Regions from separate parts of the Mus musculus genome. Here regions 1, 3 and 4 are each reported to be linked to region 2. The links are microRNA targets in miRTarBase. Many come from high-throughput screens and were not tested one by one. Region 2 holds a microRNA gene; each other region holds the end of a gene's coding sequence.

What was found. The annotated mature microRNA mmu-miR-1955-3p reads GAGCAUUGCAUGCUGGGACAU and lies in region 2 at 1,677-1,697, shown strand. An mRNA with a match to its seed (bases 2 to 7 or 8) in the 3' UTR can be bound and repressed. Matches are read on the target gene's strand: a 7mer-m8 pairs with bases 2 to 8, a 7mer-A1 pairs with bases 2 to 7 and ends in A, and an 8mer does both.
Region 1: miRTarBase lists Apcdd1 as a target of mmu-miR-1955-3p. Seed matches in the 3' UTR shown: 7mer-A1 at 1,496-1,502.
Region 3: miRTarBase lists Jazf1 as a target of mmu-miR-1955-3p. Seed matches in the 3' UTR shown: 7mer-A1 at 1,444-1,450.
Region 4: the mRNA of Kcnj10 is a reported target of mmu-miR-1955-3p. Seed matches in the 3' UTR shown: 7mer-m8 at 2,454-2,460 and 7mer-m8 at 1,834-1,840.

The regions. Positions count from the first base shown.
Region 1 is chr18:62,951,321-62,955,603 of GRCm38, forward strand. Apcdd1 (adenomatosis polyposis coli down-regulated 1) reads left to right here. Exons shown (of 5, transcript NM_133237.4): 5 at 510-2,495. The coding sequence ends at 958. Among named protein-coding and RNA genes, the nearest start is that of Napg, 24 kb to the right of the region's middle.
Region 2 is chr2:92,190,359-92,195,037 of GRCm38, forward strand. It overlaps Mir1955 (microRNA 1955), which reads left to right and starts at 1,619; the gene lies at 1,619-1,716. The region is part of intron 1 of Phf21a (PHD finger protein 21A); the gene reads left to right.
Region 3 is chr6:52,766,665-52,770,947 of GRCm38, reverse strand. It overlaps Jazf1 (JAZF zinc finger 1), which reads left to right. Exons shown (of 5, transcript NM_173406.3): 5 at 568-2,880. The coding sequence ends at 744. Tax1bp1 (Tax1 (human T cell leukemia virus type I) binding protein 1) reads right to left here. Exons shown (of 18, transcript NM_025816.3): 18 at 4,168-4,283. Among named protein-coding and RNA genes, the nearest start is that of Gm52904, 30 kb to the left of the region's middle.
Region 4 is chr1:172,369,064-172,373,346 of GRCm38, reverse strand. Kcnj10 (potassium inwardly-rectifying channel, subfamily J, member 10) reads right to left here. Exons shown (of 2, transcript NM_001039484.1): 2 at 1-4,283. The coding sequence ends at 3,287. Among named protein-coding and RNA genes, the nearest start is that of Pigm, 5.3 kb to the left of the region's middle.

The sequences.
Region 1 (4,283 bases), not on the chromosome of region 2:
ATGTGTGATCATCTCCAAACTGGACTTGGAATATAAACCAAATGTCACTGTTTTTTTGGTCATATGTACAGTATACTGTCATGACTTTACATTCATGGGAATTACTTTCAGGGCTCCCTGAAGATACCAAAACGCAAAGTTGCTTTAGTTCCTTCTGTGAAATGAATATGCTTGCACAAAACCTGTGCATATCCTCTTATACTTTACACCATTTCTACATTACTTCTGATACTTAATGAAGTCATTGCAGGGCCGTGTAGTTAAGTTGTAGCTGCGGAGTGCGTGACACTGTGAGCTGGCTGGCTGTGTTTGGTATGATCACCATTCAAGTCAGCATATGGAACTTCCTACCAGAGCCTACTTTTTTGATTACTGTGGTCAGCCAGGCAAGCAATTGGATTGTGCTTTAAAGAGAAAGCTGTGTTGAAACAGTGCCTCTAGCATTTGCCAGAAGTGTCTGCCTCCTTAAGTTGTGTGCCTAGAGTCATAAATATCTCTCTTCTCCACAGTGAATCACATGAAGGTTACTCCCATGGACGCAGCCACAGCCTCCCTCCTCAATGTCTTCAGTGGGAATGAGTGTGGGGCTGAGGGCTCCTGGCAGGTGGGTATCCAACAGGATGTGACACATACCAATGGCTGCGTGGCTCTGGGCATCAAACTACCTCACACAGAATATGAGATCTTCAAAATGGAGCAAGACACCCGAGGCCGCTACCTGCTGTTCAATGGCCAGAGGCCCAGCGATGGCTCCAGCCCAGACAGACCAGAGAAGAGAGCCACATCCTACCAGATGCCCTTGGTCCAGTGTGCCTCTTCCTCACCAAGAGCTGAAGAGTTGTTGGAAGACAGTCAAGGTCATCTGTATGGCAGGGCAGCAGGGAGGACAGCTGGGTCCCTGTTGCTTCCTGCCTTTGTCAGCCTTTGGACTCTCCCACATTGGCGCATCCTCAGATAGAAGACATTTCCTGAACCAAGACTCTTTACCGTGTATGACTTTCCTTCACACAGAGAAAGGACATTGATTCTTTTGATGCACTTGAATGCCTTGAGACCTGCCGTTGCCTCTCCTCTCCCCACCTCTTCCAGCCTCTGCGCCATGAGCAGTGTGTTTGAAGTTTCAGCTTTGAATGTCTTCCCGCCCGATCCGTGGCCTGAGAACTTCATAGAGGTGTGATTGCACTTTATGTCTGCAGAGAGCTGGGGCGAGTGTGTTTAGGGGTGGCAGCTGCCTTCTTCTCTCTGTCCCCTGACTCCTGACTGTGTTTCTGAGCTGAGCTTAAAAGATACAAATGACAAGCTGCAGCTCTCTCTGCCATTGCTTCTCTTTATCTCTCCAAATCCCTTCCACACTCGAGGTTTTCGACACTGGAACCCAGTGCAGCGTTGGCTTGGGACCGCCATGAAGACCCCATGTTTGCGACAGGAGAGCCTGGGTTGGTGTTGAGTACATAAGAGACGAGGCAAGGTTCAGCTAAGTCTTTGTCCCAGCCTTAATGCTAACCAACACTTTCAGAAATGTTGAGTAGAGAGGTGTCCCTAAAGCTTCAATGGAACTTAAACTCTGTTGACAAGCGAGTGCCGGTTTTCACTTGTTGAGAAGAGATGTGTGCCATATACTTGGTTTGGTGGCTACAGAGTACAGCCTGCTGCTTAACCCTCAGAGGAGACTGATCCAGTTGGGAAATTCAGAGCAGCTCCTGCTCCAGGCAGCCAGAAGCAGCAGTGGGGGGTGGGGGTGGGGATTCCTTGTGTTAAGTGCCACACAACTGACAAGGAGATCTGTGGAGTTTTTCTCCAAGTGAACCAATCCCCTGTGTCCTGGCTCACACTGTGGTTAGGGTGGGCACATCCACTCTGCCATCTTTAACACACAGAAACCAAACATCAGTGCTCCAGTAGCTTACTAATGGAAAGAGGTTGGGGTGAGACTCACCCACAGATGAGCCACTCTGCTAGGAGCCAGCTGTCCCTGTGCTCCTTGGTGGGGTCTAGGAGGAGTCACCCTGTTACTAGAATTACCAGCTTGATTCGGCTTCCTCTCTGCATTTCCCTGGTTCTGCCCCACCTGCGAGGTCCAGAGCCATCTCATTCAGGGTTCGCCGCTTCACAGTCATCCGAAGGGAGGAGGGGATGGCCGCCACCCATTCCTTTGTATTATTGCAACTGGTGCTATAAACACCAAGTGCTATTGCTCACAGAGACCCATGAAGGTAGGTGGAGGAGAGACAAAAAACCTAGCTGGAACTGAAAGCAGACATGGAGACCAGGACCCAGGAGAAGAGTCAGTCGTGTATTTAAGAGTTCACTTTGTGAAGCAGTAGCTTTCAGTGCGGTGTTAAATTATAACGAAGGCATGGAGTACCAGAGTGCTTTATATTTAGATTATATTTTAAGTCATGGTGCATACTTGAGGGGGTTTATTAAAAATGAAAGTACTAACTTAATGTCTACTAAGTTTAATAAACAAAGAATTTGGAAGTAACCCCACGAAATACGTCTTCTTTGTCGACTCAATGAATTCTGACACTGTCTTCAAAGTGTGAGCCTATAGACACACTTCAGTGACCAAGAGTTGGGTTTATAGCCACTTTGGTTCACTGCAACCCACCTGGACTCATCTATCTCTACCCTTTAACAATATGCTGCATATATGCCCACAAAGGGATGATAGATATTAACATAGTGTAAGCAGGATGAGTCTGTGAAGTTTGTGTGATCACTTTCTGATGTAATATACATCTCTACAGAGAAATAATAACAGCTTATTCATAACTCACTGACACATTGAAGTATGTCACCATCACTCCCAAGTGCATTCATCTCGGCTTGGTTATATCATGCTAACAGCAATAGGGTCTCTAGAGTCAGGTCCCTTATGTGTGCCAAGGTGATCTTGATGTTATGTGTGACCTTGAAGCCACAGTGGAGCTCGAGGCCATCCAGACTTGAGGGTCAGACATGACAAGTCAATACTGAGATGCTTTCGTTGTTCTTTCGATTTCCCTTGTTTTAATTCATGTGTATGTGATGGAACAGGTAGATATAGTCACATCCTATACCTATACCTATACCTATACCTATACCTATACCTATACCTATACCTATACCTATACCTATACCTATACCTATACCTACCGAGTACAGCTGTCACACAGTGCAGAGAGATTCCTGAAGCTGGAATTACAGGTGGCTTAGAGCCACCCAGTATTGGTACAAAGAGCCAAACTCTGCTCCTCTGCAAGAGGAGTACACCAGTCTATCCTCCAACACCTGCCTACTTTTAAGACAGTGTCTTACTATGTATCCCACGTTGGCCTTGAATTTATGGTCCTTCTGCCTCCATGCAATAAGTGCTGGAATGACAGACCAGTTCTACTATGTCTGACTTGGAACAAGTCTGAAAAAGGTATGCCTGACCCTAGACTAGTCCATTTACATAGCAAGTTTGAAATCCACCATAGTTCAGTACTCAGCACCTGGCAAGTCCCCCTGTTAGTCGGTGGTGGGTAATTCTGCTAGTCAACTCTACATCTGAGGGAAGTCATACATCATGGAAGATTCTTGCAGAACTCACAGGTCAGCTGCAACTGGGCTTTAGGCCACTGATGTAGCAGAACATGAGGCTGGATGGTTGGCAAAGGATGCAGGTTTATTTTGCTTTGTGGTTCTGGAGACTGCGATGCCTGCACTCCAGCAGCTGCATCTGACGAGGGTCTTCTGCTGCTTGGTCGTGGCAGCAAGCCCCAAGTGAACGTGAGGCGAGCATGAAGGGTGGACTTGCGTTATCAGGTCTGTTCTGGCAACAAATCCAGTCCCACGAGATTGAAGCCCTGCTGAAAACAGCATCATTCCGTTCATGGTGGCTCCATCATTGACCTCCGGCCCCTGCTATTGGCTCCACATTCCAGCCCTGCCACAGTGTGGGAATGGGACTCCCAATCATGAATGTCAAAGCATAGCGCCAGCCTTCTTTTCTTCCTGAGGCGCTTGCTGGTAAGCGTCAGAAAAGTCCCTGGAGTTGACAGTAAAGAGTTCAAACTGCCCCCGCCCATCAATCTCCAAAGAAAACTCATGGAGTCTCCTCTCCAGTCACCACAGAACAAAGGGTCCATTTTCTCAGACATGGGGCAATTCAGCAGTGCCCAACATAAAGAGCCACAACCAGGGTTGCTGGCATTCCTGAATGCCATGGTGGCCTGCAGAAACAGCCTGTGGGTCTTGTGGATTCTGCTTGGAGAAGAAACTTCAGGAAAAGAACCAATTGGTATTCTACCATCTCT
Region 2 (4,679 bases):
AAGAGCAACTTTGTGTGTCATGGGCCACCTGACTATAGAATGGTGGCAAATCTTCCCATGTAGACTGTGAGGTTCACTCACCCCAGATTCTTTGCTGAGTAATGTCCATTCGTAGGTAGACTCTGTGGCAGTTAGAATCCATCCTGGACTCTCCCAGCTCTCAAGTCCCTCTCCTCTCTCTATTCCCCTTTCTTTTACTCAATTAATAATAATAGTTCATATACAGTCTCAGGAAATTATTTTTTCCCATATTTTGGGATGTACTAAGGCAGTCTTTTCTGCTTTTTAATGAGGAAAAGATTAAACCAGTTATATGGAGATTGGAAGGGGTGTGGCCTAGTAGTTTTATTTTGACTTTTTGGGCCTAAGGGAAAAACATAACTCAGTCACAGAGGCCAAAAAAGATGGGTTTTGTTTTATTGTTTTGGCTGCATTGAAAATACAAACTGTCAGTGCTTGAGGAACAGGAGCAGCAGAAAGGAATTGATTTTTTTTTTCCCGCTGCAGATCCAAGTGTTGTTAACCATGTGCATTTCTAGAGTGGCATGCTTACAGATCAGACAGCACTTGATTTTTCTCCCTCCACAGAACACCGAACTCTTCTTTTTAACATTTAAGTAAGTACCCTAAACTTCAGGGTAATGACAATAATTTCATGATAAAAGTGGGTGATAGTAACCATGGCAACTGCTATCTTTGGCCTTATGGACATCCTGTTGTATTGATGAAGCTTTGGATACTTGAGGAGCCTGTCGCTTCTGTGGTGAAATGTGCTAGCACGTGCTGCAGGTGACTTCTAGCTGGATTGTGTTAATCTCCGTGCCAGCTTATCTCTCCTCGTTAGGAGTTTCTTGGCCTGTATTCTACAGCATGTTTGTGAAGGTGCTGTTGCCTGAAAATAACCCACCACCTGCGGTAGGCCTCCTGATGCAGACTGCAGCCTCCTTCCAGAGTCTTAGAGAAAAGAGGGCTGTCAGAAGGAACTATATGTATGTAAACTACAGTTCAGATTGGAAGTGCTCTTAGTAGCTTACAAAAACTTTTGTAATTTTGGAAATTGGAATCTTTTTTTCTCGGAGTTCTGTAGTGTGTGTATATAGATATTAGGAGTGGTGAGTGATGGGCATAACTGGAAAGGGAGGATTTGACAAGAGAAGCGCTTAGGTGTTTTGTTGTGAGTGTGTGCGCGTGCATATTACTGTAAGGATATATTTCCTAGTGAACAATCCTAGAGTATAGCAAATGCTTGGTTATAGAATTTTTTAAGTAAAATTATTTTAAAATATATTTAGAATAATTGTTAAAGGGGACACAGTATAGTAAAAGCATCTTAGTGGGGAGATGGTAAAAATGTTGCAACTGATCCAACAAAACTTATTTTTAAAAGTATAAAATTATGTTTCTGTCATGTCAGTTATTTTTAAAGCATTTTGTTCTTACTTGAGGTTTTTCTAGTGGAAGTTATTAATGCGAATTGCTACTTTTTCTAATATGTACTAGAGAAACAATACCAGAGCAGAGAGCAAACAAATTTGATTTGAATTTGATTAGACTCTGAAAATAAGACCTAATCAGATGCGCTCCACAGTTCAGACTTTCTGAAACTTGCTGTGAAAAGCTGGTTTACTTACTACAAGTCCCAGGATGCACTGCAGCTTTTTCTTAACTTCAGATAAGAGCATTGCATGCTGGGACATGTAGTTGGTTTAAATAGCACGGAGAACTCTTTTTCTTGTCTACTCCATTTTATAAATAGATCCCTAAAACTCTAAGAACTTCATTTTTTTAAAGTTACATTAATGAAATCATACTTACTCTGTTTCTGAAATTATAAAGTGAGACTTTATAAACAGCTTGGTGTTCTGTTTTATCACAGTGCTTTTACTAGCTTTTATAAGATCTAAATGCAAAATAACATATTCAAAACTTGACTTGGAAACTGTAAGTAGTTTCTGTGCATGTGGTCGAATAGGTTATTGCAGAAGTCTGGTATCATTGTTTTCTAGTGAGGGCAGTAGATGCCTTTTTGTCAAGCCTGACACATGCTATTCCTTTTGCCCCCAGTGGGGAGAGTTATTCAGCTGGAATTATTATTATTATTATTATTATTATTATTATTATTATTATTTTATTTTGTTTTAAGACAGGTCTTTTCTGTGTAGTTTTGGCAATCCTGGATCTTGCTCTGTAGACCAGACTGGCGTTGATACACCTGCCTTTGCTCCCCAAGTGCTGGGATTAAAGGCGTGCACCACCACCACCTGGCTTGGCCTGCGGGCTTTTTATTCCCGTCTTTAAATTCAGAGTTTTGTGATGCTTCTAGAATGATTAATTGGTCAGTATTGTCTAACTGGGAGAAAATAAATGATTCAATATAATTGAATTATTTCATGTCATTTATTTTTGAGACAAAATCCTGTATAGTTTATGCTGGACTTGAACTCACAGACTTACTGCTTCAGTTCTCTCAGCTCCCACCCCTCTTTTGTGTTTTTTAGAGGCTCTTACTCTAGCTCAGCCGGTTTCTGTATCTTGTGGTCCTGCTGCCCCTGCTCTAAAAGTGCCGGTTTTGTAGGCTTGCTTTATTTCTCCCCCTGCTCCATGTAGATTGATGCTAAGAGATGCAGCCTGAAGAGAGAGAAGGAAGGGCAGATTCTCAAATAGCTTAGATTTTCGCTTGTAAAATTTCAAAACTTTGTTTTGACTGTTCTTTATGAACTCCTGTAGGGTTGTTGTAGGATTGGGTGTAGAAGTCCTGAGAGTGCTCACTTAGCTTAGTGGTTGACGTGTAGTTAAGGCTCAGTAAATACTTAGGATTACCAACAACCATTTTTATTTCAAACAGTTCCTCCACCTTTAACTTCTTTTTATGTTTAGTTTAGTTCGAAGCCCAGGTGACTTTGGAAGACTTTGTTTTGAGATTTTGGTTTCTGGTAATGATGTGGCTTAGACTGATTTGCTGTTCATTAAAGTGTCTGTGTGCCTCAGTTTCTATCTAAATGATATATGCCCCAAATTGGACAAATACGCTAGTAGCAGGATGTTGGCAGGATTTGGTTGTACCTGTTCAGTATTGTTGTACTGTATTGCAGTGTTTCATTGACTTCAGAAAGTTTAAAAGATGGTGTTAGTAATGTTTGCACTGTTAGAATTTCCAAATAGCTGATTAGTAAAAGTAAGACTCTGGAAAAATGCTCTTGGTATCATGGTGAGTGCAACCTTGGGAAAACCCTCTGACCACATCAGCTTGTGGGACTGATAGAGAGGGCTACCCCCACTCTGATCACATCAGCGTTGCAGGACTGATGGAGAGGGCCACCCTCCCCCCCAATGTCATTCACATCTAGGGTGTATTTAGAATGGAGGTTCAAAAGAATTTACATTTTAAGTATTTACATTTTTTCTTTTGTTTTAAGGTACTACTTTTATTAGGCTCTAGAATTTTTGGGATATTTTTACTTTAGCTGTGTGAGGTAAGAAGGATGTTTGAGGTGGGAAAAGGGTACCTAGGAATATTGAAAAATATAAACGTAAATTCCAGTATATGTTCCATGCCTTAGTTGGAATATGAAAAAGTCAGATAATTGTCTTTTTACCTGCTTAACTGATATCCACTCGTTAGCATGGACTTCTTGGAACATTGTCATAGATTACTGCTAAACTATTTACTGAAACTATTTCTTAGCAGTAAAGTACCATTTGACTCTACTTTGCCCTTCCATGGGAGGCTGACACCTTTTTGAAGTATCAAAAATATGTGGACTCTGGTTGGATATGCTTCTACATTGTAAATTGTTTTATTTCTTTTCTATTAATTTGGTCTTTAAGTTAATATTAAAATGGATAAATTCAGCAGTTATAAAGAATTGAATACAAATGATCAGCAATGAGTAGGAAAATGTCCTTTGTTTTTTGTAGGCTACTATAGAAAATAATTGTGCTTGTATGAATTCTCCTTCAATAAATTTTATTGACACGTCTATTTATATAATTCCTGAAACACCACTGAAAAATCAGGAGAACAAAACTGGGTGGTTACTTGTCTTCACTCTAGAATATTGTTAAACAGTGTGTCATATGTCATATCTTGGGAAATTTAGTCTTGTTTTGAGTTTAGTTTTTCCAGTGGAAAATAAGTAAGAGCTTGCTGTTAAAAGGGGTAGATGAGATAATATTCATAAATATACTTTACAGACTAAATTAGTATACATGAATTGGATTTGAATTTAGAAGTATTTGTCATGTTAATAATATTATTATAAAGTTTTAAGTGTCTGAGTTAGAGTGGATGTGAACCAGAAATTAGCGATCTACTCTACTCACCATAGACAAGTCTTAAGACTTTTTAAAATTTTTTATTTTTAATAAATCTTTTTTAAATTTTAAAAAATTTTATGTATATGAGTATACCATTGCTCTCTTCAGACACACCAGAAGAGGGCATCAGACCCCATTACAGATGGTTGTGAGCCACCATATGGTTGATGGGAATTGAACTCAGGACTTCTAGAAGAGCAGTCAGTGCTCTTAACTGCTGAGCCATCTCTTCAGCCTGAGTTTAAGGCTTTTTAATTAATTAAATTTATTTTATGTTATATGGGTGAGTGCCAGCGTGTCTCTGGGTGTAGCACATGCCTGCTGTGTGCCTAGAGCTCAGGGAGGCATTGGGTCTCTTGGAG
Region 3 (4,283 bases), not on the chromosome of region 2:
TAAACACCCAGATTCTTATCATCTGCTGCTAAGAAATCTACTCAGCATGTTGTTTTTCATGGGACTGACTTTATATAAATAAAGGTTTAAAAGCATGCTGTCTGAACGCAGTACATCATCAAAAGCAGTGCCCATGGGCTCTGAGCACTCACCTATGCTGAAGCACGGCCAGCTAACTCTGCCAAAGCCTCCAGGTGAGGTTTAGAGGGTACTTACCACAGCTTATGTCTTACATTCAGTCTGCCTTACCCTACTTTTTGTATTCTTTAGAACATTGTGTTCATTGGTCATTCTGAAATATTCACAGAATTTCCAATTAATTCTCTTCCAAGCAGAAAACTTTAGTAGCTGAGAAGCAAGGCTTCAAGAAACCAAGGGAAGTGTTCCATTAATTTTCTTACAAAGCCCTGGCACACACAGCCCAGGACCAGCAAACCCACATGAAGCCCACCCTCTGGATCCATCCAGGAGCTGCTTTGCTGGAATCTGACCCATGCTGAGGTTTGCACGAGTGTGACAGGACATTTGGTGACCCTAATAGGTAATTTTTTTTTATCTTCTCCACAGAATGTGAATGGCATAAAGTACCATGCTAAGAATGGTCACCGAACACAGATTCGCGTCCGCAAACCATTCAAATGCCGGTGTGGGAAGAGTTACAAGACAGCTCAGGGCCTGCGGCACCACACAATCAATTTCCATCCCCCAGTGTCTGCCGAGATGATCAGGAAGATGCAGCAGTAGCGTGCTGGTCAGAACTGTGCCAAGAAATCCTCACCAGCAGTTGCTGATTTTGAAAACAGCCACCTTTTTTCAGGGGAAGCACTCAGCAACCCTTTAATGAAAAATAATTAAATGCATGCTTTAACCTTTTCTGTACTTTTGGAATGATGTATCTTTGTAGTTAATGATTTTGTACATTTGCACATGTAATCATCACGCCCATTTCCATTACGTTGATATAAGGTGCTAAACAAAACAAGCTCTAGGTTCTTCAGCACATTTTCCCCAAAACAAAATAAATGAAGGGCATGTTGCATATTGTTTAACCACATTGCAGTGATGTCAACTGGGAGAGGAGGGGCTGGCACTGAGATGTTTTAAGATTGTAATGTGATTGAAGCTTTTCAACACATCGACTCACATAAAACCAAAATAATACCTTCATTATCAAACTGGTTATCATGCCTTACATAATGGAGTTAGTATTTGTGAGTAGAAAGACTTTAGGTAATGGAAATATAAATAAGAATGTTTAACATAATATGCTAAAAATATTTTCATATTTAAATAACATGCATAAAAGGTGTGCTTTCTTTTCTTTCTTTTTTTTTTTTAGTTATTATCTTGCCCTTTAAGAAGCTGAAATTCTTGCCATCGAACTTACCAATCATTTTAGTGTTCTAAATGGCATCTTTGTGCAAAGGACTCAGTTCACTCATTAATGCTAACATTCTCATTGAGTGCCTGCTGGGTGCAAGAGACTGAAGTTATACCTAAGTTACTTGTGGACCAAGATACCAGTGAAATACTTTTCCCTGAAATGTTAGGAAACACTTTGAAATACTTAAGTGCAAATTGTGTGTGTGTGAAACTTAGTTATAGCTTCATCAATAGATGAGGTTTTAAAGCACTTTGTAGTTCTCTATTGCCAACAATTTTGTTTAGACGTTGCCAATTCTTGCAACTATTGCCCTAAGAGATCTGTGGGTTGCAATCCGAACTAAAATTCAGAAGTGTGTTTGAGCGAGGAAGGTTGCTAAGACCCCTACTGCCCCTTTCCTGTTCAGTTGCGACTTTTAAAGGCACTTTCCTATCACACTGTAGATGTCTGCATTCTCATTAGAAATGTCTGTTTAGCTTTAGAAAACATTTTGCCAGAATATGAAAATAAGCCTTACTGACATTAAGTGCTTCTTGCAGCAGGTGGTCAAGGAAGAGTGACTAATAGACCCACTAAGAGTGGCCTACATCTGGATCGTCCTGGAGCTTCTCTCACCGACAGTACCATCATGTGTTGAGTGTTCTTTTCTCCCAAGTGCTATTCTTTAAACAAGAGTTTACCGGTTGCCTAATACGCAATAAACGTTGCTTTGACACAGCTAACTGCACACAGTACAAACTGGTGAAAGGCAGACTCAGATTCCCTCTAAAATAACCTTTTCCCCCGTGTTCCCATCTGACGCAGTCTTACACACAGCTAGCTAGTCGTCCCTCCTCAGCATTCACACTGTGAAGACAATTCTGTTAAACAGATGGGTAAGCTTCTGCATCAATCCCTCATGATGAGGGATTTAACAATATTTATAAAGATGCTGCCCACTAAAAATGTCCTCAGCTCTGAAAAGTGGTCTCGGTCTTGACTCTACAGTGTTAGCTCTCATGGTGTTAAATGGATGATCCAGAATTCAGAATAGAAGTTGGTGCAAAAGAAGGCCCTACTTGCTCCACATCTACCTACAGTTGACCAAAAAAGTTAGGCCAGCAATTAATAGTTAGCTTTGCTCTTTCTAGTGTGAGAAACTGCGGGCTGGATCAGTAGTTCAGCAGCTACACAGGCATAAAAACAGTCATTGTGCATGTTAAAAACCTTTCAGTGATAAAACCCAGTTTCTACTTCTTCATTGTGACAGTATTACTAAACAGGTGAGGAAGGGATATTTTGTTACACCGTGTATAGTGAATGTATTGTACCGTGTCTGTGAAAACCGTGCTTTAAATTATATTTTCATATGTTTTGTTGGGGACAGAGCACATTAAGTTTGAAAGCAACAGAACTATCAGAATTGAAGGCAATTTACTCAAACTTTCTGTCAAGAAAAGCTGCTTAATAAATGTACATGAAATCACATTTAAAATAAACTGCCTCTGACCCAAAATAAATATGGCTCTTTATTTTAATTAGCTCCGCTATAAGAACCGACATCAAGTTTACTGTGGGAACTAAAACATCTGTCCAGGGCCTGTTCTATTACGCTCCTAGTTATTTTGCAGAATCTAGGTGATATGTAAAGGTTTTGTTCCCTTATGTTTTGCTTACTTTTCTGTAAGTAACACTTTATGATAAGCTTGGGACTAAAACTCTACATAAACTATCCAGTTAAACAGCCAACAAGATGAGCAGCCTCGTTTCACTGACAGTAATATTCAAAGACTACTTTCAGGTTAGCATGGGTCATACTTCCTAACTGCAGGAGAAATGTCCACAGTATGTGCACACGTGTGGAGGCCAGATGTCAACATCAGGTGTCATCCTGAGTCATGTCTCCACCTTGGGACAGGGTCTCTTACTGAACCTGAAGATGAGCTGTGTAGACTGGCTGACCAGCACATGCGAGGACATCCTGTTGCTGCCCCCCAGCAACACGTCTGCTTTCTCACACCAGTGCTGGGATCAGAACTCAGCACAGCCAGCACTTTCCAAACTAAGCATCACCATGGCCTCCAAGGTCTCATGTGGGGCACACGTTGCCCAAGGATATTCTATGGAGGACTCGCCAGGATGCTGAAGGTGTATCCACCGCTGGCCCTGCCTCTAAGGACTGCCTGACGCCTGGCAGTCCGAATGTCTCCTGCTGGTTCACTCTAGAATCTACGGCAATCTGAATCTACAGCCTAGATTTAAATACCCTTTCAAATAAAATAAATGCAAAAATAAAAATATTTTAAAACATATACATATACCTTTTCAAATGATTCAATTAATACACAAACTCTTCTATAAATACCAGCAGCATGGTATACAGCAGTTTACAGACAGCAATCTAGAATGCTACCAACTCTGAATATTTATTTAACATCTCCAATACCTAGTTTGCTCAGAATGGGCCTCTATTTTAGTGACTACTAAAGCAGCAAAAAGTACTTTAACATTCCCATCATAAAAGGGAGTGTGTGTGTGTGTGTGTGTATGTGTGTGTGTGCGTGTGCGCGCGCGCGCTCGCGTGCACGTGTGTGAATGCTACAGTGACATGACAGCCCCCCACACTGTCTTCTATAATGTTAGCTGTGACTGAGAAGCACAGTTGTTGGGTCTGGGTTGTGCATTGTATTTCTGAGCACTTCCTGAGGAACGTTATGTCCAACGTGTATGCTCATCAGGAAAATGTGAGAAAGACCATGGTACACAGTCTGCCATTTTATGCCCCGAATCATTTACAAAGGTCATTTAATGAGAACAGATAATGCCTTGATTTATTTTGGTCCATTATAGTTAAATACAATTATAGCTAGTTATAAATACAAACTCAATCATTTAAAAATAGTCATCTAGATTATGCTAA
Region 4 (4,283 bases), not on the chromosome of region 2:
CATCTTGGTGGAAGAAGAGAGGAAAATGGAAGGATGCTTTTGTTTGCTCGCTTGCTCGATCGCTTACTTGCTCCCTTGCTTGCTTGTTTTAGAACTTGTTCAGCGGCAGGTTGTTGGCCAGGGATTGTGTGAGTGGTAGATTTTCCTACTTCTCCATGAGTGGAGCATCCCTGTGTCCCATTTCCTCCTAGTTTTCCTCTTGTCCTGCCAGCACAATTCATCAAACCTCGACGGATGCTCCTTTATTTATGAAAAGGGCAGGGTCTAGCCCTCCCTTTTCCATCAAGCAAACTTAAAACCATCAGCTACTGTCACTGTTGTTCAGACCATAACACAGAAGATCCAGCTATCCTGCTCCCCCAAACCAAGGCAAAATATTTGTCCCTTTGTTAAAGTCTGAATACTTCCTTCTGTACAGTCCGTATATTTGGGTATATGTACATCTATGTACATTTCTCTGTATATATTATCTCTGTTTTTCTCCTTAGATAAACATATATCATATCTCAATCTCCCAAGTTTCCCCCCACCTCCTGTGTGTCAGTCATAAGTAAGTAAGACTCTGAGTTTCATCTCCCTAGGCCCCTTAGCCTCGTCGTTCACTTTTTCCCCACTCTGGAGATCCTTCCCCATTGGTCGTTTTGCTCACCTGAAATCTCCCATCCCACTTAGAATTGGCGCACCTGTTATTCTCCTGACATTCCAAGTCTCTAGCTGGTACAGACAGGGAACCCATTTTTCATCAGCCGTGGCTGTTAGTAAAGCTTGCCCTGCATCCTGAGAAAGGATTTCAGGTCAGAGAGTCGGGCTGGGATCTAAAGAACCACTTAGGGTTGTGAGTGGGAGTTGTTCTGCAGAACATAAGGCTTGTTGGAGAAAGGTGCCGTTCTGAATTCTGAATTAACAGGACAGATGTTAATGATTTTTAAATGATTTTAAAGTGCAACTTAGAGCAAAGCCTGGGATTGTAGAGGAAGTTCAAAAGGGGTTAAGGCAGGAAATGCTCTCTCACATTGTTATCCAAGATTCTGAGGAGAGTTGGGCCTTGGCAAGGCTCTGGGACGAGGGTCATTCCCTCAGAAGGGAAGCAGCAATGTGAAGAAGAAACAGGACAGAGGATAAATTGCCACAGGATAAGAAGACACACACACACACACACACACACACACACACACACACACACACACAGCAGTACACATGGTCCTTGCACACTGGACACATCAGGTAAGCGCAGCGTTGAATGTATTTGAAAGCACATAAGCTGGCTCTTGCCTTCTGCTCTTTGTTTCAGACATTCAGGTTCTTCTGGTTCTGGTTGTTGATGAGAGTTGGAGGCTAACGGTGAGCTTTACAGTAAGGAGAGACCAAAGGCTCTTCGTTTTCAGGCTACAGTTAATTGAGTTCAAGGGAAGACCAACGTAAAAAGACTGTGCACAGTTGAGATCCACTCAGTCTTGGGATCTTCTGAGTTTCTCTGCAAGGCTTTGCCCAGAGATCCGGGCATGCATTCTGTATAGATGTGTCGCTTGTCATCTGTCAAGTCCACCTTACAGCTTACGTCATTCCTGCCAAACTACCTTGCGAGGTTTCCTGGGTACCCAAGTGGAGCCAAAGCTCACTAGGACAGGACCTGGTGCTTCAAATGCCCTTCCATGACCCCTGCCACAACCCTCACCAGAGAACTAGGAATGGCTTGGGTGTGATCTTAAGCTGTCTTTGTAATTTGCCTGGAACTGGCCCGTAGGCAGAAAAGAGGAGAGATGGCGCTGGTTTTCATCATTTTATGCCAGGTGTCAGAATGGCAGAGATCAGAATGTAAGTTCCTCTCCTCTCAGCATTGCCTCATAAAATAGCTGGCACTTCTCAGAAGGGCACCAGGAGATGGAACAAAATAGTGGCTGTCAGCCAGAGTTCTGCCTCAGCCCAAACCATAACAAAACATCACAAATTCCCCGAGGCTCTGTACAGCAATCTGGAAATCTGAGAAGTGGGTTCAGCTTTCCTGGGGAATCTGTGCCCTGTGACTAGTTTTAATAGATCGATGTTAAGAAAGGCAAATGACCATGTTTCCCTCTCTTACTTCAAAAGGTTGAGTTAAGGGAAGGTCTGGGGTGGGAGAAAAGGAAGCAATGGAACTGGTACAGTGTAATCTGGATGGTTTTAGATATTTTCGTGAGGTATGTGCAATGGACTTATTCAAGAGAACATTGGGGGCTTGGCATAGTGGTTCATGCCTTTAATCCCAGTATATGGGAGACGGAGGCAGCTAGGTATCTGTGAGTTCAAGGCCAGCCTAGTCTACATAGTAAATTCAAGGACAGCCCATGAAAGAGAGAGAGAGAGAGAGAGAGAGAGAGAGAGAGAGAGGGAGGGAGGGAGGGAGGGAGGGAGGGAGGGAGGGAGGGAGGGAGAGAGAGAGAGAGAGAGAGAGAGAGAGAGAGAGAGAGAGAGAGAGCATTGGTTAAGGTCTTCCTATTCCCAGGAAACACTAAAACATATCTTTTCAGGACAGAGCTGCCCAAAGGACAGGGCCAGAGTATTAGACAGTATTTCCAAAATTGAATTTCTCAGAATCCAGGATGGGTGCAGGAAAGGTGGCTGCTTGTGTTTCTCGAGTCAACCCCAGTTCTACAGAAACAGAAGCTGAGAGAGAACCGGCTTTGCTGAGAAGATCCACTTGAGAACTGGAGAGGGAAAATTAGGTGGTGACCAAGAGTCCAGGCTCTGTCAGGAGTTACCAGCTGAAATTAAAACACCATGACAAACTCTGGCTTCTTTCTTCAGGATTTGATAGCCCAGGGAAAACTGATTTCAGATCCCAGTACTTCTGAGGGCAGAGCCCATAGAGTGACTCTCTGAGAGAGTTCTGCCTCAGGGAACTTAGCTAGATGGAAGAGAAAAGGAGGAAGCTCCAGTCTCAAGCCATCAAATTTTCTAGTGGTGGGCGTTTGGGGGGGAGTCTATCCATCCAGTCACATGGTCCTCTGAATGTGAATCTCCAAGCATGGCTGCGGCCTTCCAAGCCATGTCAGCCTCATCTTCCCTCTCTTTCCCCCAAGCTGGCTTAAGAGTCATATACATTGGTGTAGTGGTAGAGGAAGGTACAAGGGGACAGTGAGAGGAAAAGGAAGGGCTCCAGCAGGCCCCGACTGCTCACAGGCCACCGGGCTAAGGGGAAGTTGAGGGTGGGTGCTTCAGGGTCTCTCCAGCGAACCCAGATTGTATCCTTTTCCCAGAGCACTGGAAGAGGAAAAGGCCAGAGGGCTGGGGAGGAGAGAACAGGATATCAGACGTTGCTGATGCGCACACTAAGGGCACTGCCTTCCTTTTCAGCTTGCTCTCTTAATGACTCCTCCAACTTGAGCTTCTCGGGGTCTCCATAGCGTACGGTGCTATCGCGGAGACCACTGGGAGATGCCACTTTCACAACCTGGTCGAAAAGGCTGAAGTCAGCTATGTATTTGCCACTGGCTGACAGTGAGATCGCAGGCGTGAACTCGTAACCCCAGAGGATCTCCTCCGGTAGGTAGGAAGTGCGAACTTGGCAGGTGGCACTGGTGGACTCCACTGTCCCACTCAGGATCAGCACCAGCTCAAAGTCCCCCTCCCCACTGCGGAGCGGGAGATCTTTTAAGGGGCTGGTCTCATCTACCACGTGGTAGAAAGTCAGGGGTAGGATGAGAAAGGGGCTGTCTGAGGCTGTGTCTACTTGGAAAGTCACGTTGACCTGGTTGAGCCGAATATTCTCACCCTCCTTTGTCTGGTGCGTTTGAAGCAGTTTGCCTGTCACCTGGCATCCAATGAGGAGACTCTTCCGCATATTGGCAACCCGGATCATAAGGCAAGGCTTCCCGTTATGGGAAGCCACAACGGCATGCTGGCTGAAGCGGATCGTCTCGGCCCTCTTCTTAGGCCGGGCAATCTTTGCAAGGAAGGTACCTGTGATGAAGATTTCCAGAATGGTGGTGAGCACCAGCTGCGCAATAAGAAGCACGATGGCCAGTGGGCATTCCTCACTGATGTAGCGGAAGCCATAGCCGATGGTGGTCTGGGATTCCAGGGAGAAGAGGAAGGCTCCGGTGAGCGTGTGCACCTGCACCACACAAGGCGTGTGGTTGGCAGGAGGTCCCAGCTCCAACAGGTCCCCATGGGCCACAGCTACCAGATACCACACCACACCAAAGAGGAACCACGTGCCTGCAAAGGTTGCAGAGAAGAGCAGAAGCTTGTAGCGCCATTGCATGTCAATGAAGGTCGTCCATAGATCCTTGAGGTAGAGGAAA